Linked DNA regions of Drosophila melanogaster. The protein of the gene in region 1 purifies or fractionates together with the protein of each later gene. This does not show direct contact. Each region holds a gene or a part of one and is shown in the gene's direction. Other genes may lie near its edges. The genes, in order: nesd, pav and tum.

Region 1 (6,777 bases):
GTTAAAGATTCTCACATCTCGGCCACATTTGTGGATCCCGGAGCAGCCGAGTTCTTTCACATAGCCATGAATGAATGTAATGCGAAGGATTCCTCTCCGGTTGTGGCTATTAAGCGAATGCGGTACAGTGAAGTGCTGCCCAAGGAGCAGACTAACAACCATGGAGCTGCATTGGGTCCGGACTGGCATCGCAGCGTCGACTTGAGTGGAGCACGTGAAGGGGAAGAGAACCGCCTACCAAAGATCTATTACAAATCTCGCATAAGCAGCGTTCAGGATCTCGCCGACGACGCAGGTGCTATAGTCAAGTTGGAGCATGAGGATGGGAGCTTTCAGCAGTTGACCTGTGACTTTATTGTTTCCGCAACGGGAGTTTGGCCGAATACCGACTACACGTGTGATTCGCCACTTCAATTTTCCGACGATGGTGGCATATCGGTGGATGAAATGATGCGTACGAATCTGGTGGATGTCTTTGCGGCCGGTGATGTGTGCACGGCCAACTGGCCAGCCGCAATGCACTGGTTCCAGATGCGCCTGTGGACTCAGGCTCGCCAAATGGGCTCCATGGCGGGCAGGAGTATGGCGGCTGCCAGTGAAGGTGAAAGCGTGTACCAGGATTTCTGCTTCGAGCTCTTTGGCCACGTAACCAAACTTTTCGGATATCCTGTTGTCCTGCTGGGACGCTTTAATGGTCAGGATTTGGGCAGGGACTACGAAATTCTGGTGCGCTGCACGAGAAATAAGGAATACATCAAGTTTGTGCTTCAAAATGGCAGACTACGGGGAGCAATGCTAATCGGCAACACTGATCTCGCAGAGACCTGCGAGAACCTCATCCTGAACGGCATTGATTTGGAGCCCTATGGCGATGATATTCTTAATCCCGACATTGACATTGAAGACTATTTTGATTAGTTTATTATGCGCTAGCTTAGAGTATTAAAGACATTAAAAATAATTCGCATCTTGGAGCTAACTGCTAGGTTTGGCTTATACCTGGATTTGGTGTGGCTTTTTTTGACCGCTGTCATTTGAGCTTGCCTTCGGTGCCTGGGAATTATTCGTTTAAATGGTTGATTACATGTAGTTCTTAGGAAATGTCGAACTTTTGCAATACTCACCCACATACTTGATCTCATCGAAGGCCTTTCGTGCCTTTTTCAACTCCTCGTTCATGGTCAGAAGATCCTTCACCCTAGCGTACTTTCGGGGATCTTTGCGCACCAGGAAGATAATGTCTTCGACTTGAACACGGCCTGTTCGACCGATCTCCATTGCCCGGTGAGTGGTCTCAGCTATATACTCAATGACCAGGTCTTCCAGCAGATCTACGGTTTCCGTGTATGGATTTTTGTCGTCTCCGAATCCGAACATCATGCAGCGCAGCTCCTTGCTGAATAGGCGCTTTCGTCCTGAGTTGGTAGCCACAAATTGGTCATCCTCCGCGTCGTCATCAAAGTTGAACTAAAAATGGTGATTAGCTTAGAATCGGAGACATTGGAACTGGTGCTTATAATATTTCCTTACATCACCGCCCTCGAAATTCTCCTCTGGCATGCTATTTGAGGCCATAGTGCTCAGACTTCAATTAAAACGTTGAATTTGTATACAAATTTTGTGTTTACGCGAGTAACACCGCATTGAATGAGCATTGTAATCGATACTTGCAGCACTGCTGGCGATAATTGGTTGAGAAGGTAGCTGATACTGAGACTAACTCGAAATAGCTAGATTGCGAGCTCATATTTCAAATATCTGAGCTTGTCAACAAATCTAAATATTTTGGTTCGTGATTAAATAAATTGTGAATTTATTCAAGACCATACAAAATACATCTAAAATATATTTATATAGGTGCTTAAATTATAGCCACGAGTAAAAATCTAGCCAAACTCAACACATGGTTGCACTGCGCGATAACGCCGCCCGAACAATCGTTATCGAAGCCTTTGCTTGCACACGCATTTCAAAAATTTTTATAAACGAACACATCGTTCATTCAAAAGGGGAAAATGGAAGTGTTTACCTTTGAGAAATCGTACTTGGAGCGCCTAAAAGAAGCGGAGGCGGTGCTTTCGTGGGAGGGAGCCGTGATGCCCGCATCCCAGGTTCGATCCGAGTGGAAATCCTACGTCGAATTAAAAATTGAGCCTGCAGGTAAGCCACCCACACACACACACACACACACTCGTGCACAAAAGGCAACTATATATACATATATGTATCTATATGGGATATATAGGATGGCAGGCAATTTGGAAAATTCCACGCGTTATTTGCGAGGATCTGAAACTACGCTATCCCACCATTGTTTACGGCTACGTGGAGCAGGTGATCTTTGACGAGCTCAAGGCGGTATTTGTGGTGACCGCCGTGCAGGATAGCGATGTCCACCTGCCGGAGAGTAATGAAGTATCGCTAGTGGAGCTGTGGCCCACTGTGCAGCAGGAGAACGCAGCTCTAAATGTGGATACCACCGCTGAATGCATCGATCGTTTGCGGTTCTTCTATACGCATGTGTGGATGCCTTGGGACAAGGACTACGACGATGATCGCGACTGGGTGCAACAGCATCTGCAGGCTCGTATCCAACTAGTGTGCGATCTCAGCAAGAACCGACTGCCCCGTCCGTTGGCCCTGCACATGCGCACCCTGCTCGCCGAAGCCAAATACATTCAGCAGCGTCTGGACTACTTGGAACTGGATCTCAGTGATGCCGAGAGCGACGACGAGGCTGTGGAACTCAATGACAGCGTAGCAGAGCCCGCTAGAAAGCAATCTAAAGCGGGCAGTGCCAATGGCTGTCTCAATGTGTCCAGTCTGCCGGTTACAGATCTGATGTGCCTGCACCTGCGCATGGCCATCATAAGGAGCGAGTTCGAGATCCTTGAAAATCCTGAAATGAGGCGAGCCTACAGCGAGCTACAGTCTAATAGCCTCAAGCGGCTTCGCTGCTCCTCAGGAAGAACCAGACAATCGGAGGATCTCTTGGTAGAGCGGAATTCCATAAGCCATGTGGTAACCTTGCCGGGAAAACTGCAGCAGCAGCTGGAACTGCTAAAGCTGGCCCAGACGCTGGTCAAGCCGGAATCGAAAGTGCAGCTGTCCAATACGTTGCAGGATGTCCTGAGCATCTGTCAGAGCAACGATGATATTCTACTTTCGCCCGGCGAGCATACAATCAAATTCTTGGAGCACCTCAACGATAATGGCAGCCTAAGGGGACTCACTCAGCCGGAAGCCATACTAAGTCCTGCTGCAGATCTTTCCCTGCTGCCTGTGGTGTGCTCGAGCGATGAGGATAGCACCCTGCTGGTCATTGATGGCGACTATACCTTGTCGGAATTGGTTTTGGATTGTCGTCATGTCCGTAGAGGGATCCTGCTGCGCAACGGAACGTTGACCATGCGAGGGTGTCGCTTGCTGGGCGATGGGAGCTCCAGCACCCAAGAGGGTATTGTCTGCATGCCAGGCGCCAGCGTGGAACTCAAAAGTTGCCTAATTGAAAACTTTGCTGTGGGTGTATCGATGCGACCGAAATCTAGTGCTGAGCTGGGAAGCGTCCAGTTTAAAACATGCAAGACTGGACTGGAGTTGCTGGAGAAATCCGCTTCGGTTAATCTGCAGGGTAGCAAGTGCAGTTTTGAAAACTGTGCTTTAGGAATCCTGGCCGATGGTTTCGTATTGGGAGAGCAAAGAACAGAGAAGGTCCTGGTTCTAAACAAATTCAGCGAACTTCAGCGGTAAATGAAAATACGTTGTATTTTACATGTTCAAAAATTACCACTTATATCCTTATTTTTTAGTTACAACGAGGACAACTTGCTAGGTAATTGCAGCTTTTACAACTGCAAGAAAAATGTGCGAGTTTTTAACGAATCCGGTCAGCTGCTGGCTCAGCGATCGCATCAACAACTCCTCGAGGACGAACTCGGAGGGGAGAACAAGGAAAATATTCAATTGGTCTAGGGGTACATTGTGTACACATAGTGTTTATAAATTAAAATTTAGCGCTAACCGAAAATCCTATTGATATGCGTCAATAAATAATACGGGCAAACTCCAGTGTCTCGATGTTGCAATTTCGTTGGATGTCCTATTCTCGAAACCTTACATATTGGTTTTAACTCTTGATAAAGTTAGTTAATATATAATATTACACCGTCTCAGAGCGTCTTCCAGAAAATACTTCCTTTAACACATAAATACTCCGAACAATAACCTGAATTTGTTTACAGTAATTTCTTTTAATAAAAACATGTTAATCATTAGTTGGTTAAGCTTTCTGCTTCTGCTCCTGGCCGTAGTACTCGCTGTAATCATACTCCCTGAAGGGCACATCGTATGTTAGGTACCCGGAGTCGCGGGCTTGCTGAACGGCGACCATTAGACGCAGGTGGCTCTTTTGACACAGGCCTGTCTTTGAGTAGCTAAGGACGTCTCCGCTGTGGGGCGATATGAACTGCTCCAGGAGCTCCGTGTTGCGGTAGTCCAGCACCAGGTATTCATCACGGCAAATGGGACAGGGATTTCCGGTGCTGATACGGTTCTGGCGGATGCACGTCTTTCGTGTTTTGCGCGGCGCATACATGCCCTTGTGGTTGCGCCTAAAGAGATTAGATGCGAATGCAATGGAAGTTTTCACGTGTATGCCTTCAGTTCGTCTTACCGATACTGCGTCCACACAAAGTCCTCGCCGTAGGTTTGCTTGTAAGCGGCGCTCTTTAAGTATCGAATCGAGGTCTCCACTGGGATTGGTTTGCTGCGATCCTTCGGGTCTGGTGCGGAACCACTAGCGTTATCCTCGCCTTCGCCTTCGGTGGCAGCCGCATTATTTTCTTCAGTCGAAGTCTCCGCCTTGCATCTCAAGGCGCTGGCCGTGTGAAGAGCTCCCCGGCTATTCCGGGTAATGTTGACCAGTCCAATGTAAATTCCACGTGCAATCGGCAACATTTTAATTGAATAAAACCTGAAGTTACTTCAAAAAATTCAGAGGCGACGTAACAAGGTAAATTCGTGGAGCCGGCGGATCAGCTGTTTTCCGATACATGACTATCGATACATTCAGGGGCGGAACATTTCTCACTAGGGTATTCCCCGAGAAAAGTTTATTTTAATAATTATTAAAGTAATTTTAACTTAAACTTTGACTGTTACTATCTAAAGGCTGCCCATGCTAGAAACATTTTCATAGAATATATAATCTGTTCTATAAAATACTAACCATATTAAAAAGCTTAAAGGATTGAGCAGCTATAGAAGTGTCGGCATTACCCTTAATATATTACAACTCAATTTTTGTATCAAATGTTCAATAACTCTCTTTAAAATAGAAACCAATATAACGCTATTGAAGGTTGCGGTTGTAGTTTTAAATTTCTTAATCATAATTTGCATTTGCTTAACCGTCAAAATTTAAATAATTTTTACAACGACAAAAGGACTAAAGTTACAGACTGTGGCGTTTGAAACCGCTAAATTGAACGGTGAGTAGGGCAACATGGCCGAAACCAAACCCCAAATGGCCTCTCAAACTAACGGTAAAGGCCGACACACACGCTGGCACCCATACACACGCGACTTTGGGGGCATGAATGAAAATGGCTGCGCCGTACGGTTCGGTTTTCCCGTTAGTTTAGTTTCTTTCGGAATTTACTGGTGCAAAGTAGCGATACTATTACTGCAGCTCCCGCGCCCGCGTGTATGTGTGTGCGAGAGTGCGCTGCGTGCGTGTGTGTGTGTGTGTGAGTGAGTGTACGGTGGGGCAACCTTAAATCACGTGCATACAAAAACCGAATGAAAAAAGCACGGCATTTATTTACATTTGGATGCCACCATAAAAAAATAGAGCGCCGACGCCTGGGTTCGGTGTAAATCGACGTTAGTAAATGCCTAACAATTCCTTGCGTGTGCACATGTTTTTGGTCCCAATCAATACTTGGCAGACGGTCATTTAGATTTAATTGTTGCAAGAAATAGGCCTCGAGCAACAACAAATTTTGAGCGCCGACAATAACAAAAGAAACACCGGCGAAGCGGTAAGTAATTTTCGCTTGCCTTAAAAATAGAGCCGATTGCAGGTTTCTTATCAATTTGCGAAAAGTCGCGACAACAAATAAACAGGGCTATAAATACCGCTATGCCAACTACAAATGTTTAAAACAAGAGCGCAGTTGGGGTGGGCAAACAAAAGCTGGTGGCTTTGTCACCCGAAACGAAAAGAGTGGACCTTTTTCGAACCACCTGCCTTTGGAAAACGAAACCAACTTTCCCATTTGGAGTGTCTTTTCGCGCATTTCGTGTAATAAATGGTTCCTTTCCTGCGGCGCCACTACGAAAATCGTGATTATGCTGTGCCAAATTATTACCTGTTGGCTGTGCGACCTTTTCTATGCCTTTCGCTTCCAAACAAATGAATAATAAGCAAGGTGGGCAGCTCGAAGGTCGGATTCTCTGTTTTGGTCAGTTCTTAAATTTTTGAAAAACTTCTAGTGTTCATTGGGTTTTTATTGCAATGGTTTTAAAATCACTTGAAAAACGATGCAAAAAGCAACTCTTATAATTATTCAATTAACCAAGAGTCATCAATTTAATAATATATTTTTATATTTTTGTAATTCTTCCAATGTAAAAGTTAAAGTTGTGTAAGTGCTGCTTAGTTAAAAATAGATTGCTTATAAAAATATATAGACGTTAAAAGACGTCAGATATATATGTATATGATATACGTAAAAGAAACGACCAAACGATATTAGTTCACACCGAACAAACATT
Region 2 (7,787 bases), on another chromosome or scaffold:
GCAACCTGTTGCGTTTTCCCCATTTTTATTACCACATAAAAACTGGTTTTCAGCCACGTACACTCTGATTTTTATGGCCGACGGGCGAAATTAAGAAATACCACATTTTTAGAAGCCTGACACTTTTTCCAAATTAGTACGCTTAAAACAATTCTAACAATTTCTAATGTGTTATTTACTTGTGTTCAAAATCAGTTGTTATGTTCGATTTCACTGACAAATTTTCCCACACTCGTTTTGTTTTCCTTGATAGCCGGTCGAAATGTTGGGAAGCACTACACAGTGCCGCCTAAGCATCTTCGGCATTTTTTAAATTTCTAAAGTTTTTTCTAAATTTGAAATAGACCAAACTTTTTGCCAGTGCAGCCGGTTTGATAACCCCCCATTGAAAGCTCTTTTTTGCCAGTCTTCAATCGGTTGTGGGCACTTGCAGTCCGTTTTGTTTTTCTTTAACGCAGATTGAGGGATCGAAGATCATCCAGCTGTTGCGATGAACCGTCGCCTTCCAGGAACCATCAGCCAGTGCCAGAAGCTTCTCCTAGCCACCCACAACCATGCTCCAACGGCCTTCTCCACCAGATTCCTGTCCACATCTCGAGTGAACCGCGAGCGGCAAGAGTAAGTTTGTTTATATAGCTGCGAAAGTTTATGACATTTTCCGCGAAACAAATGGCATGGCAAATCTATATCTATATCTACCAAAACAAATTGAATTAGTATGTTTAGGCTAGTAACTAATTAATGGCGATAACGAAGAGATAACTTGTTGGCCATGGTTAGATGGCACTGATGGTGGGTGTGGTCATGCGACTGTACTAATCTCCCTTGAGGTGTCTGTCATTGTATATTCCAGCAATTAAGTAAATCCTATTTTTTCCAGATGCCAAGTGCTGGTTGTGGGCGGTGGCACCGGTGGGTGTGCCATGGCCGCCAAGTTGTCCTCACGTTTGGGCAGCGACAAGGTGGTCGTCCTGGAACCGGAAGATGTGAGTAAGCCCAAAGGCAGTAAATAATCCATTATGACATAGCGCGATAATTCCCCATAGAAACATTACTACCAACCCATGTTCACCCTAATAGGAGGTGGTATGAAGAGATTGGATCAGAGCCACCGCCAAATGGCCGATGTGCTGCCCACAAAGGCCAAATGGGTGAAGGAGAAGGCGCTGGAGTTCGATCCGGATAATAATACGGTTAGCACTTCTGGTGGCAAGACCATCAAGTACGACTTCCTGATCATCGCCACCGGACTGCAGCTCAATTATGGAAAGGTACGTAGGGTATCAGTACGTTTAATAGTTGCTAATATCCATATCCACATATCCATAGATACCTGGCCTGGTGGAGGCCCTGGAGACCCCCGACAGTAATGTTTGCTCCATCTACTCGCCCAAGTACGTGGATCATGTGTACGAATGTCTGCGCAGGACCAACAAAGGAAATGCTATATTCACGTTTCCCAATTGTCCCATTAAGTGTGCAGGTGCACCGCAGAAAATCGCCTATATATCTGAGCACTACTTTAGGAAGGTGTGCATCATTTAGATAGAATATCTGGCAAACAACTTCAATTTGAAACCCTTTTCAGATGGGTCGTCGCGACAACGTCAATATCATCTACAATACATCGCTTCCCGTGATTTTTGGTGTTAAGCATTACGCAGAGGCCCTGATGAAACTGATCAAGAGGAGAAATATCACGCTTAATGTTCAAAGAAATCTCGTTGAAGTGAGACATAAAGATAATATAGCCGTGTTCGAGGATCTCGCCAAACCAGGAGTTCACTATGAGGAAACGGTAAGTGCTGGTCAATTAATTGGGTATTCTAGATACTATATAGATCTAGATCTAGATCCTAGAACTATATCTTTCTACTTAAAGCGAGAAATATGAAGAGTAGGTTAACTAAGATCAATTTTAAAGTCGTATAGTATTGCAGAAATAGGAGAATTGAAGGCCATGAAATTAAACTTATATAAGTATTATATCTTTCTCAGTACTCCATGCTTCATGTGACTCCGCCGATGAGCACTCCGGATGTGGTGGCCAACTGCAAGAAACTGGTAACCCCCACTGGCTTTGTGGACGTCGACCAGTTGACGCTGCAGCACAACAAGTACAGCAACGTGTTCGCCATCGGCGATTCGGCGTCCAGTCCCAACTCGAAGACGGCCGCGGCGGCAGGTAAATGGGTTGGGAATCCTGATCAGAATATTCAATTGATTTTTCACCTCCAGCCGCCCAATCACCGGTTGTGTTCAAAAACGTAATGGCGGCGATCGAGGGCAAAGCCCCAACGGATATCTACGATGGATACTCGTCCTGCCCCATCGTCACCGGCTACAGCTCCTGCATCCTGGCTGAGTTTGATTACAACCTCACCCCCGTGGAGACCTTTCCATTGGACCAGTCCAAGGAGAGGTACTCCATGTTCTTTATGAAGAAGGAGCTGATGCCGGTGCTCTACTGGAAGCTGATGATGAACGGCTACTGGAACGGACCGGCACTAATGCGGAAAATTTTCTCAGTGCTAAAGTTTAATAAAAAGCAATAGGGACCTCAAATGATCTTTAATTAATTTTAAAAGAATATTTGGCATCATCATAACCATTCCATACCTTAATATCATACTAATTTATAAACATTGTACTTTTAATTTGGTATGTGAGATCATAAATAAAAGTATTAAATTAGTTTAAAATCTAGTATATCTAAATATTTTAACCTATTCAAATGGCACGCACTGTACATAGCCTCGGTTTCAGTATGTATCAAGTATATATTGGAGCAGGGGATGGTATTTGCAGCATTAACCGCTTTCTAAAGTTCGGTCACTCTAAAACCAAGCGTGGCGTCGCTTGGCGCTGTAAATTTGAAGGTAACGAACTAAAAGAGAGATCGATTCCAGCAACAAAACAAGAAGAAACCCAACTCCCGTATATCAAATTAGTTGCAAAAACGAGCTGACAACATGAAGGCAGTGTAAGTGATATGACAGTTCCCGAAAGAACAACTCCATCAATGAGAATACCCATTTGCAGACCCAGGACGCCGATGCGTGTCGTCCCGAAAACTCCGCGGGTGCATCAAACGGTGGAGAAACAGCGACGAGACACCTCCGACAAGGCCAGGGATCCAGTGAATGTGTTCTGTCGAGTGCGGCCACTACAATCCGACGCAGATCTCACCTCCCTAAGGGTCAAGAACTCCACGACGATCGCACTGAATCCGCAGGATCAGCTGCTGCAGCATCACAAGCCACACAACGGCGCCCAGCGCGAGGTTCAGTACATATTCAAGCACGTTTTCCAGCCGGATGCCACGCAGCAGGATGTGTACGCAGCTGTGGCCCAGCCGTTGGTGGAGAACCTACTGAAAGGCCGAAACAGTCTGCTTTTCACCTACGGCGTGACTGGAAGTGGAAAAACGTACACCATGACCGGCAACCTGCGACACCGCGGCATCATGCCGCGCTGCCTGGACGTGCTCTTTCGCACCATTTCAGATTACCAGGCCAAGAAGTTCGTCTTCAAGCCGGACAAGCTTAATGGCTTCGAGATCCTGTCCGAAGAGGATGCGCTTTTGGAGCGCCAACACGAGATGAACCAGCGTTTTGCTGGCTCAGGACGATTTGCCTTCAGGCACAAGGACTCGGATCCGGAAATTGCATCCCAGGCCTCCGTGGAGCCAATTCCGCTGCTGGGTTTGGATGAGGACAACATGTACTCGGTGTTTGTCACCTATATTGAAATTTACAATAACAGCGTCTACGACCTCCTTGAGGACTCGGGTATACAGAAGTAAGTATTTATTAAGCATTACATTTAAAGAAATCTAACTGTATTCTTGACCCGACAGGACTTTGCAGAGCAAAATCATTCGTGAAGATGCCAATCGACACATGTTCGTCCACGGCGTCACAGAGGTGGAGGTCAAGACCGTGGAGGACGCCCTCGAGGTCTTTCAAATGGGCCAGAAGCGCAAACGAATGGGACACACTGTTCTCAATGCAGAATCCAGTAGGAGTCACTCGGTGTTCAATATACGCTTGGTGCAGGCGCCCACTGATAGCCAGGGTGAGAATGTGGTTCAGGACCGGCAAAACATCACAGTGAGTCAACTGTCCCTGGTGGATCTGGCGGGCAGTGAGCGATCCTCAAGGACCAAGAACACCGGTGTGCGACTCCGTGAGGCGGGCAACATCAATAATTCGCTGATGACGCTGCGCACTTGCCTGGAATATCTGCGCGAGAACCAACTCGCGGCTAGCAATGGATTGGCACCCAAGAAGGTCCCCTATCGAGACTCCAAGATCACACACATGTTTAAAAACTACTTCGATGGCGAAGGCCAGGTGTCCATGATTGTGTGCATCAACCCAAGAATTGAGGACTATGATGAGAATATGGTAAACTATTTTTCTGACAACAATGTACTCTGGTCCCTAAAATTTATTTATCCCGTTTAGCAAGTGATGAAGTTCGCCGAGATGACCCAGGAGGTGCAAATTGCTCGGGCGACTCCTATGAAGCAAGATTTGGGTCTGACTCCCGGCCGTCGCAAGGCCAACAAGCTGTTCAAGATTGCCGTTAATAATCTAAACGAGCTGGGCATTCCTGAGGCCAAGGATTTGGAGGTGGACGTGGGTTTGGTGTACAGTTTGGGACCCGATTTTCCCGCCTACGAAATGGACAGTCCCGAGGCACAGATCAAAATCCGCGAGCTAATGCATTATCTGGAGCAGCGCATAGAAAAGCGAAAGAAGCTGCGTGCCAACTTGGACATTAAATGTAAGACGTCACTTTCTTAATCTTAACATTGAAATACTAATTCCACAACTTTCAGGTGACAGCTTCCGGCAGATGCTGATGAACCTTGACCGCGACAATCTTCAGCTGCGCACGGAGCTCGCCTCCTTAAAGGCTGTTTACAAGCAGGAGCGCGATCGCAGTGCGGCACTCGAGAAGAAGGTTCGCATCCACGAGAGCTCCATTGACGTGCTTAACAATACGCTAAGCAAGCAAGAACGGCAGATTGAAGAGCTGACTTTCAAGCTGAACGAGAAGGAGAATATGCTCACCCAAAAGGAGCACGAGAAGGAAAAGCAAAAGAAGAAGTTCAGCTCCAAGCTGGCCGTTGAGTCGGACAAAAATAAGCGAGAGTTTGAACTAAAGCTGCGTGAACAGCGAGTGAAATTGCAGGAACGCATGCGCATCAAGGACGAGAAGTTGCGATTGGTCTCCAACATTCTGCAGTCCGAAGATCTGCCCAGTTTGCCGCGGTCACAGAGCTCGGAAAACATACTTAATGAGAAAGATCGCGGTGCATATACGGCGCGCACGGAGGAGTCCTCGGTGCCAGCTACACGAACAGATATATATGCAACGCCACGTCATGTAAGTGTATGATTAATCCTAGAATATTGCAATATCTATTGATAATTTTATATCCCAACAGGGTGCAGCAGCGGCCAACAATCGGCATAGACGCTCTCGATCCGCAGGCGACAAGTGGCTGGAGCATCGGGCAGCTAATCCCGTTCCGCTTGGCACTATTATGCAGCCGTATCTGAAGAATCGCAAATCCGTAACGAAACTAACCGACTTGAAGGAGTTGACTGCTCACGGAACTACGAAGTACTGTCTCGTCTCGCAGGATGCGGATACGGATGGCGATGTGGAGACGAAGCTGTATAAGGGCAATGTAATTCCCACTTGTGGCGGTGGTGCCCAAGTTGTGTTCAACGATGTGGAGTGCCTCAAGCAGAAGTCACCGGTTCACTCGCCCACGCGAAAGCGACCCAGCAATGGCAACATTTCGGCTCTGGGCGGCGGTGCAGTGCCCAGCACGGTCACCTCAGCCCAGGACGTAGCCTCCCGCTGCAATCTCGGCATTGAGGGACACAGCAGCAAGAAGTCGAAAATCTAAAAATGACTCAGCGTGGAATTCTCAAAGTCAATTACCCATTTAGTTCATAGTTACTTAGTTTCCATAACTTAAATTTAAGTTTATTACTCACCCACTTCGGTTTTTGGAGTTGAATCGCATTGAAGTGATTTGTTTGATTAAAGAAAAGTTAATCTGTATAAATAATCCCGTAAATGAATTCGCAACCCCTCGCAAATGGAAATGTTTCCTGCTCCAAATAGTCGGTACCCGGAGGGTATCTGCCAAGAGCAGTTGTTAGAAACTATCCAAGCATCGTCCAATCATAGAACTACTCTAGTGTTATTATAAAGTATTAAATATTTTATTGTTTTTCGGAGTGAACCCAACTCCAGTCCAGTCACAAAATGAACAAATAAAGTGAATTACGCGCATATACTGAAAGTGATCAATTTGGTTTTTATCAATTTTAGATTTTCTGGCTGCAAAGCTCCCAGAGTTCCGTGAAGCAATAACATGTGGCACATAGATGGTTTTAACTATTTTTATTATTATTCCTGCGTTTATTCAGATTTATGCTTAAACCGATAAATTTTATTGAAATACATACGGTACCATTACACATACATATTTGTAGATTAATTTCAATTACTAATAAATCAGTCTATAATTAAAATATATGTTCGCTTAATGATTTCACGTGTGTGAGTGTTGTTGTGTTGCAGTGTTCATGTTGCAGTTGCTGTTTCGTGGGTGTGAGTTGCTGCTCGATGAGTTCGGCAGATGACTCTTAAACGCTATGTGCGGCAAATGTGGCAGGTTCCTGGCAAATGAGGAATTTCGAATTTGGAATTGGAAGCCAATATCGCTAATGCTACTGCACGACAAATGAATCAAATCAAATGTAAAAGGGAAACAATCAGAACGTGATAATAGAATTTAGGTACATACCCGTTCAAGTACAATTAAACAAAACAAGTTGGACGAGACGAAACAAAACCACAAATGTAAACATAATAGGCGGCAAACTCAACTCAAGTGGTGGGCCAATATTAACATATCCATCTTATCCAAATTTCATTTAAACAAATTACAATTTAATCAATATAAAGCTCTGTTCTCATAAACGCTCTCTCAGGTTCACACGACGCGAAACAATTATTTGCATCTGCAGTTGTAAATCTGCGCTTTATAATACGTAATCATAATCATAATATTATCATTAAGGTAATCGATTCTTGCCATATACACAATAGCAATAAAAACTAAGAAGCGAAATTATTCTACGGTGGAAAACGAATTTTGGCTATGAAGCAACGTAATTTAAAAGGGTATTATTAACAATATACACTCACAGCCACAGCCACACCCCGACCACCCGACTACCCTACTCTTCTTTCCCTTAATTGTTTAATGTTTTTTGTGTGTGTGTTACGGTGTGTGTGGTGTTAATGGTGTGTGTGGTGTATGTGAGCAGTTGCGTTTTGTTGGCAAGGCATTCAACATTACGTTGCGGACCCTCACATCCGCGGCATCTGTCTGTGTGTGCTTTTCTGTGTTTGGATGAGTTTGCAATGAAATCTCGCTTGAAGCTGTATACTAGCTGCCCCGTCCCTGACCGTTCACCGCCTGAATCCAAGCGAGACGGCGGCGTAGGCTCCACCGGAAGTGCCCCACCGTCTCCTATGAGCACTTCACACATGCACCCTCAACATCAAAGTCGAGGACCATTAGCTTTGTTTCCTCCGTTCCGTTGCGGGAACCGACGGCACAAATGAGTTTAGTGTCGTTTGCTCTGAAAAGTTTTTAGATATAGTTAATTACATTTATAATGAGCGGATTTATATCGTCTTGGACTTACCTAATCCGCCACACAACGCCGCCGGATCCACCAGAGTCC
Region 3 (7,143 bases), on another chromosome or scaffold:
AGTCCTTGAAGTACACACAGCACGGCGAACCACAGGAGGTTCTGCAACTGGTGGAGGACAAACTTCCCGATCCCAAGGACAACCAGGTGCTGGTGAAGATTCTGGCAGCTCCCATTAACCCGGCGGACATAAACACCATTCAGGGTATGCTGGCCATTAGGATATATCACAAACAAACATATATTATGCATGATACAACTGAAATATAGCCATAACCGGCATGAACTGCATAATTAATAACGATAATCTTCTGCTGAAACAACTGGATAAGAACTGAAGATCAGAGATACTTGTATTCTAAGTATACCCACTTGCTTGAAAGTCAGTTATGGGATAATCAGAAGTAATCCATTTAAAGTTAAACGAATGTTATCAGTACATCTTTGTACTTTGAACGATGCTCAAGGTTGTGGCTTTAAATTTTAAAGAAGCCTAGCTTGTTTAAAGTCACTTTGATAATGATTATTATAAATCCTTTACAGGTAAATACCCGGTGAAGCCCAAGTTTCCAGCCGTTGGCGGCAATGAGTGTGTGGCGGAGGTCATCTGCGTGGGCGACAAAGTCAAAGGCTTTGAGGCAGGACAGCACGTCATTCCCTTGGCCAGTGGCCTGGGCACCTGGACCACCCATGCCGTCTACAAGGAGGATCAACTATTGATCGTGTCCAAGAAGGTTGGCTTGGCGGAGGCCGCCACCTCGACAGTGAATCCCACCACTGCCTACCGAATGCTAAAGGACTTTGTGCAGCTCTGTCCGGGTGACACGGTCATCCAAAACGGCGCCAATAGCGCCGTCGGCCAGGCAGTGCACCAATTGTGCCGAGCCTGGGGCATCAATAGCGTTGGCATTGTACGCGACCGCCCAGAAATTGCCGAATTGAAGCAGATGCTGCAGTGCCTGGGAGCCACCGAGGTCCTAACAGAGGCCGAAATTCGCACCAGTGACATCTTCAAGTCGGGCAAGTTGAAAAAGCCCCGTCTGGCCTTCAACTGTGTGGGCGGAAAAAGCGCCACGGAGGTGTCGCGTCATCTAGACAATGGCGGAGTGCTGGTCACCTACGGCGGAATGTCCCGCGAACCCGTCACAGTGGCCACTGGACCCCTCATTTTCAAGGACATTGCATTTAGAGGCTTCTGGATGACTCGCTGGTCCAAGGAGAACTACAGTTCACCAGAGCGTTCGAAAATGTTCAAGGAGATCTTCGAGCTGATGGAGCAGGGAAAGTTCGTGGCCCCCAACCATGAGATGGTGCCCTTGGCAAAGTTCAAAGACGCGGCGGCCGCTGCCTTGAGCTTCAAGGGATTCACCGGCAAGAAGTACATACTGGATATGAGCATTTAGATGCGTAACTCGAGGCTAAGCCTGCTGTTTATTTACATATACGACTTGTGTATTAAAATTGTTATCTACTGTGATACACTTTAGACCATCTCCACCTCATTGGACTGATACTTCAGCTGCAGAGTCATGGCGGACGGCGAGGTGGCATCGGTGACTGTGAGCTGCTGTCCATCGTGTAGACCCAGTTCGCCCAGGCTCTGAGTAAGGTTCTTTCGGGTGGCCTCTTCAATGCTCTTTACCCCGGACATGTACAAAGTCCGCCGCTTGCCGTCCTTCATCACAGTGGTCAAGGCTGGGCTTTTCAGCTGGAAACGCGGGGAATCACACAATAGCTTTATCACATCCTCCAGCGTGGTGGTGTTGGGATCCTCAATCGGCAACGGCTGCGGTGTATTGCTGCACGCCAAGCAGTTTTCCGACTTCTCGGCCTCGTAGGTGTAGGTATAGATTCCGTCCAGGTCGTTGAAGTTCAGGTAGTTTGCCATGCTGTCATAGCAGCTGGTGGCCAACTTAAAGACCTCCAAAGCACAGGCGGCGGCAATGGCTGCATTGGTACTGGCCACAGCTGGAATGATGTGCTTGACAACGCCCTGGACCAAGCGATAGGTCACTCCGGTGATGTTAAACTCATTGGACCGCTCCAGTGCCCGTTCGTAGATCCAACCAATGTGCTGGGGATCGTCCCCATCGAGGGGCACTCCAAACGGATTCTGTTTCTCCCACTGTATGATCTTTACGTACTCAATGCAATGCTCCGGAAGCCTGGGAGTATTTGCTATGGTGCATAGGGGATAGTTGACCTGCGGCGGGAACAGGTCCAGCGTGCACTCAATGCAGGCCGTGAAACCGGGCAGGATGACGCGTGCGTTCCCCTTGAAGCCCTCGGTGCCGCCATCAATCATGGGCACTATGGAGCTGGTATCTATGGTGCCGTCCTCCTCATATCGCAGCATTGATAGCAGCATGCCATTGATCCAACGCCGGGCGACAATGGAGTCTAGGCCACAGACAACCAGGTGGAACTGCTGATAGAAGGACTCATCGAAGTCCTGGATTTTCTTGAAATGCGGCGTCACCCGGCAAGTAGGCACTCTTGCGTTGATGAAGCGAGCCGCACACTCCGCCTTGGAGGCGCCAATGTCTGTGCGACGGAACAGAAACTGGCGATTCAGGTTGGACAGCTCGATGGTGTCCATGTCGATGACGTGCAGGTTGCCGAAGCCCATCAGAGCCAGATCCTTCAGCAGTTCGCAGCCCAGGCCACCGGCTCCGATGATCAGAACCTGGCACTTGGTCTGCAAGAACTCCAGGTTTTCCGACGAGGCCGCGAAACCGTCCTTGCAGAAGGGACCTTCGCGTTCCAGGATGTTCCGCAGTCCATTGAAACGCTTGCTCTGGAGGATTAAGCCAGGATTGGGTGAGTGGACAGACATTTTTCAAACAAAATCGAGACTGTGATTCGTTTAGCAACACTACTCGGGTCGGAATAAATATTAGTGATGGTAGCTTATGTGAATAAGAATTTATATAAGACATATTGTAAATAAAAAAAAATATTGTAATTATATTATTATTAATATAATCATTTCAAAAGTATTAATAGGATAACATTAAATTATTTTTTATTTAATTCCGAAAGAATTGTTAACTTGAAACAATCTCTATCATCTCTAACACGATCAGATCGATATTTTCTGTTAGCATGACTACCCTACTGTTATTTCGAGCCACCCATTAATGGTCACACTGCGCAGATGGCGTCAATTTGAAAACAACGGAACTTGAAAAAATTCAGCGCGTCTTTTGCAGCGTGCTCCGTTTGCCACTCGTTTTTGGGTAAATACTACTGATTTTCAGTAGATTTCGAAGTTGAATCAAGGAAACCAGTGTGCAGGCAGTCCCTGCGAGTGAAAACCGATTCGTAGAACTACCGAGACAAGCAAAAATGGCGCTCTCCGCATTGGCGTCCTTCGATGATCTGCGACGCTGCATGCAAGTGCTTACCGATGGAACTCCTGAGGAGGGTGAGTAAAACTGAAAACACGCAAGGCAAATGAAGCCCTACATGATGCTTGTATTCCATTTAGAGTTCCTGCGGTTCTTGCGCATGTTCGAGCAGTACCACGAAAAGTGCGCGGGCTACGCGGCCGAGACGGCCAGGATACAAAACGAGCTGGACAAGTCGTTGACCAAAATGGGCGACCTGGAGGGCAAACTCTTTCACGCACGCCGCATCATCGACATGGAGATCAAGGCGCGCCGCCAGGCGGAACACGAACGAGATGCCATGGAGAGCAAGATCATGGCTGTGGCAGATCTGCTGCGACACGAGCGCAATCTGAACAACGAGACCCGCGACAAGCTGGCCTTTCTGCACACACTGCCCTCGTCGCGAAAGCGCAAGTCCCTGAATGCCGTGCGGGAGGACAAGTCCTATGGCGACATCAACTCCACCGGATCGTTGCTGTCGGATTTGTCTATTACACACTCCGAGGACGACTTCCTCGATGTGCGCACATCAAAATCTTGGCGAGAGCATCGTCCTTCGCTGCCCAAGAACCAGATTCCTAGCGTTGGCAACAAGAGATCGCGATTGAGCACTGGACTGAATGGCAGTATGTCCGGGACTACACCAACCACTGGCAAATCGCGGCGCTCTAGCGTCGGAATCGGAGTGGAGCAACACACGGTGGACGTGGGTCAAGGCGCTGAGCGCTTTTGTGCCACCACCAAGGTCACCATACCCCAGGATGGACAGGGCGTGATTCGTGCAGAGTCGACCATTGAGTCGCTGCCTGTAATTGCCGGCAACGAGAGGATCGGCGACGGACTATCCTCGACGCCACGGCGATCGGTGCTTAAAGAGGCCACCGCACCGCCGCTGACGCCGGTAAATGCTATGGCACCTCACGTTGTCGCTGAATCCGGAACGCCACTGCAGCACCGTCCACTGATGAGGAACCACACCTTCAGTCAGAAGACATTCTTGCGTGGCGACAATTGCGTTCAGTGTCAGAAACGGTAAGCTTACTAGAAGTTCTGCTCCAAGTAGGTTTTTTTTATTAATTAAATACTTTTTATACTCTTCAGCATACGGTTTGGAGCCGTTGGGCTGAGATGTCGGGATTGCCCGGTGCGCTGTCACATCGATTGTCGGTATCTGCTCACCGTTAGCTGTGTGCCGCAAACGGGAACACCGACGACGAAGACCATGACTGGCTATGTAACGGACTTTGCACCATCTATTGCACCCATGATCCCGGCACTGATTGTGCACTGCGTAAATGAGATTGAAGCCCGCGGCCTGACCGAGGTTGGCCTCTATCGATTGTCCTCGTCGGAGCGGGAGTACAAGGCCCTCAAGGAGCAGTTCCTGCGAGGCAAGGCCACTCCACATTTGGGCAACACGGATATCTATGTGCTGTGCTGTTGTGTCAAGGATTTCCTGAGGTCCCTAACAGAGCCTCTCATTCCCACCAGCCAATGGAAGGATTTCGCAAACGCAGTCCAAAATCCTGACACCAAAACTGCCCAGGATATGTTGGTTAAGTCGGTGAAGCAGCTACCACAGGCCAATAGGGATACGCTGGCCTTCCTCATACTGCACTTCCAACGAATTGCCCAGTGCCCAGTCGTGCTAATGCCGATCGATAACATCTCGCTCATCTTTGGCCCCACCATTGTGGGCTACTCCACACCAGATCCCGACCAGCATGCGATCTACACGGAAGTTTTCACCCAGAAGCAGGTGATGAAGGCACTTCTTGAGCTGCCCGTTTCGTTCTGGGAGCAATATATCGTTATAGATCCGACAAGAACACCGGCCACAGTTATCAAGCGGGTGCCAAGCAACAAAAATGACTTACTCTCGCTATATGGTGAGTTATTTATGAGCTAATTTTTTTAATTATTCTAATTATCTCTCCTTCACAGCAACTCCCTTCAAAGGAGGCACCATTAAGAAGCGGAAGTTTTACGGCACACCGCCGGCATCTGCGCACAAGAAATAACGAGACTTTCCTTGTTGGAAAGCATTTGACGTGTTACTTAAGTTTACTTCAAGTATTTTGCAAGTTTTTTGTTTCCGGCCAGCCAACCCCGAGCTGTATTTGTACCCAACCCAACCATAAGCTTTTCTTTATAATTTATGCGTTCGATTATAAACTAAAGCACGTTATTATCGTACTAACATAAGTATACTCACCAGAGAAATAAACTAAAATATGCATTTGAAAAGCAATAAGAACAATGAACAAATATATAAATAAACGATAAAAGAATATAACAAGTTTTTATTCAAGTTCAAATATTTTTGAATCTGTTTAGTGAACTTACTTTTTTATATTCTTGATGGCAAATTATTGGAGGCATGTTAGTAACCAAAAGTATATTAAACATTTCCGGATTTGGATTTGGAAACGGGAATGTTTCGCCACAAAACGTGCATCACAACTAATGGCAAACTCGATACAACTTTGGAATATCCCTTTGATAGGATTATCTAAAAACGTGATAAGCTCGGTCATTGAAAATACTGACTGCCGCTCAGAAAACCCCATGACTGATAATTGTGCACAGCTAGAGCCGTATCATCATCAAACTGGTTTGGACAACTCTCGTAATAATACCCTTAACTGCGCCATGGAACCGTCAGTCTGTCGATTGGAACCCATTTAGAATGTTCGGAGCGCATCAGAATCTCTCAATTCAGCTGGTGATTTTTCTCTCCTTAGCCGTCACCATTTGCTTGGGATCCCAAAATGCCACAAGCTGCGGGCATCGCTGTGGAGGAGGCGACTGTATCCAACTGGACCAGCTGTGCGATGGGAGCGCCAACTGCTTGGATGGTTCCGATGAGACGGTCGCCATGTGTGAGAAGGTCTGGTGTCCGGGTTATGCATTTCGCTGCAGCTACGGTGCGTGCATAGCCAGCACAGCGGTTTGCGATGGCGTCCAGGACTGCGTGGATGGTTCGGATGAGCAGGGTTGGCTGTGCCGGGCGCAGATGCAGCAGGCTAACTGCGACAACTGGGAAATGTACTGCTCCTCTGGCCAATGCATGACCTATTCCAAATTGTGTGATGGCATCCGTGACTGCCGAGATGGAGACGATGAGCTGGAGTCCCTTTGCGAGGGCGTTACCATACCAACGACTACAGTCAGTTCAACGACAAGTACAACTACGGAAAGTAGTATCCATAGGATAACTCCCACTGTTCCTGTAACAAGGAAGGCGTCACGACCAAATCCTCTTCAGGAGAACGGGGAGTGCGTGGTTCCCCAACTGCCAAACGTTATGGTTAAGCACTTCACAGATGCAATCCTCACTGTAGGATCAAGGGTAGCCAATGGCACCCGTATCTACTACGACTGCCCGGCGGAGCACAGACTGAAAGGCGAGAACCAGAACATTTGCCAGGACGCATTGTGGGCTAGGAAGTTTCCTTACTGTGAAAGTAAGTTGTGTATTTATCAAAAGTTTCTTCATTAATACTAATTTATTTACTTTTAGCACCCCAAGCGTATGTTTTCAGCTTGGTTATAGTAATATTCTGCTTCCTAATCGTGGTATTGGTGTTTCTAATTTGGCGGGTGCGTCGAGAAAATGGCTCAAGAAGGCAACGAGAGGAGCACATTTGGCTGGTGGAGACCAGCAGTAATCTTCCCCAGACATCTTCAATACCAAAGGTCTAGGAATTAATTTTTACAAAGCTAAACATGTGATCACGCATACTTACTTATTTACCAGCCAAGTTGTTGATAAAAAGTACTGTTAATTTCAAACTATCTAGGCTTATCTT

The links.
Region 2: the proteins of nesd (region 1) and pav purify together in Drosophila melanogaster (affinity purification with western blotting; one study listed by BioGRID). This does not show direct contact.
Region 3: the proteins of nesd (region 1) and tum purify together in Drosophila melanogaster (affinity purification with western blotting; one study listed by BioGRID). This does not show direct contact.

Annotation. Positions count from the first base shown.
Region 1 is NT_033779.5:20,092,194-20,098,970, forward strand, and holds nesd (nessun dorma), read left to right. Parts: upstream 1-1,778; 5' UTR 1,779-2,015; coding exon 2,016-2,160; intron 2,161-2,245; coding exon 2,246-3,746; intron 3,747-3,809; coding exon 3,810-3,972; 3' UTR 3,973-4,060; downstream 4,061-6,777. Other genes in the region: Pyroxd1 (pyridine nucleotide-disulfide oxidoreductase domain 1), read left to right, coding at 1-918; Taf13 (TBP-associated factor 13), read right to left, coding at 1,031-1,053, 1,125-1,467, 1,531-1,575; mRpS18B (mitochondrial ribosomal protein S18B), read right to left, coding at 4,280-4,610, 4,673-4,956. UniProt on the Drosophila melanogaster protein: Required during male meiosis for completion of spermatocyte cytokinesis and possibly also required in female germline cells. Also involved in ring canal formation in male and female germline cells.
Region 2 is NT_037436.4:4,239,906-4,247,692, forward strand, and holds pav (pavarotti), read left to right. Parts: upstream 1-2,828; 5' UTR 2,829-2,972; coding exon 2,973-2,983; intron 2,984-3,042; coding exon 3,043-3,801; intron 3,802-3,859; coding exon 3,860-4,409; intron 4,410-4,469; coding exon 4,470-4,791; intron 4,792-4,846; coding exon 4,847-5,397; intron 5,398-5,458; coding exon 5,459-5,929; 3' UTR 5,930-6,328; downstream 6,329-7,787. Other genes in the region: Sqor (sulfide quinone oxidoreductase), read left to right, coding at 491-618, 881-986, 1,047-1,271, 1,330-1,530, 1,589-1,798, 1,999-2,185, 2,239-2,555; ago (archipelago), read right to left, coding at 7,571-7,682, 7,749-7,787.
Region 3 is NT_033778.4:13,854,630-13,861,772, reverse strand, and holds tum (tumbleweed), read left to right. Parts: upstream 1-3,083; 5' UTR 3,084-3,287; coding exon 3,288-3,366; intron 3,367-3,429; coding exon 3,430-4,363; intron 4,364-4,432; coding exon 4,433-5,220; intron 5,221-5,275; coding exon 5,276-5,352; 3' UTR 5,353-5,623; downstream 5,624-7,143. Other genes in the region: CG16935 (uncharacterized protein), read left to right, coding at 1-144, 483-1,342; Uba3 (Ubiquitin-like activating enzyme 3), read right to left, coding at 1,423-2,775; CG6553 (uncharacterized protein), read left to right, coding at 6,021-6,798, 6,855-7,036.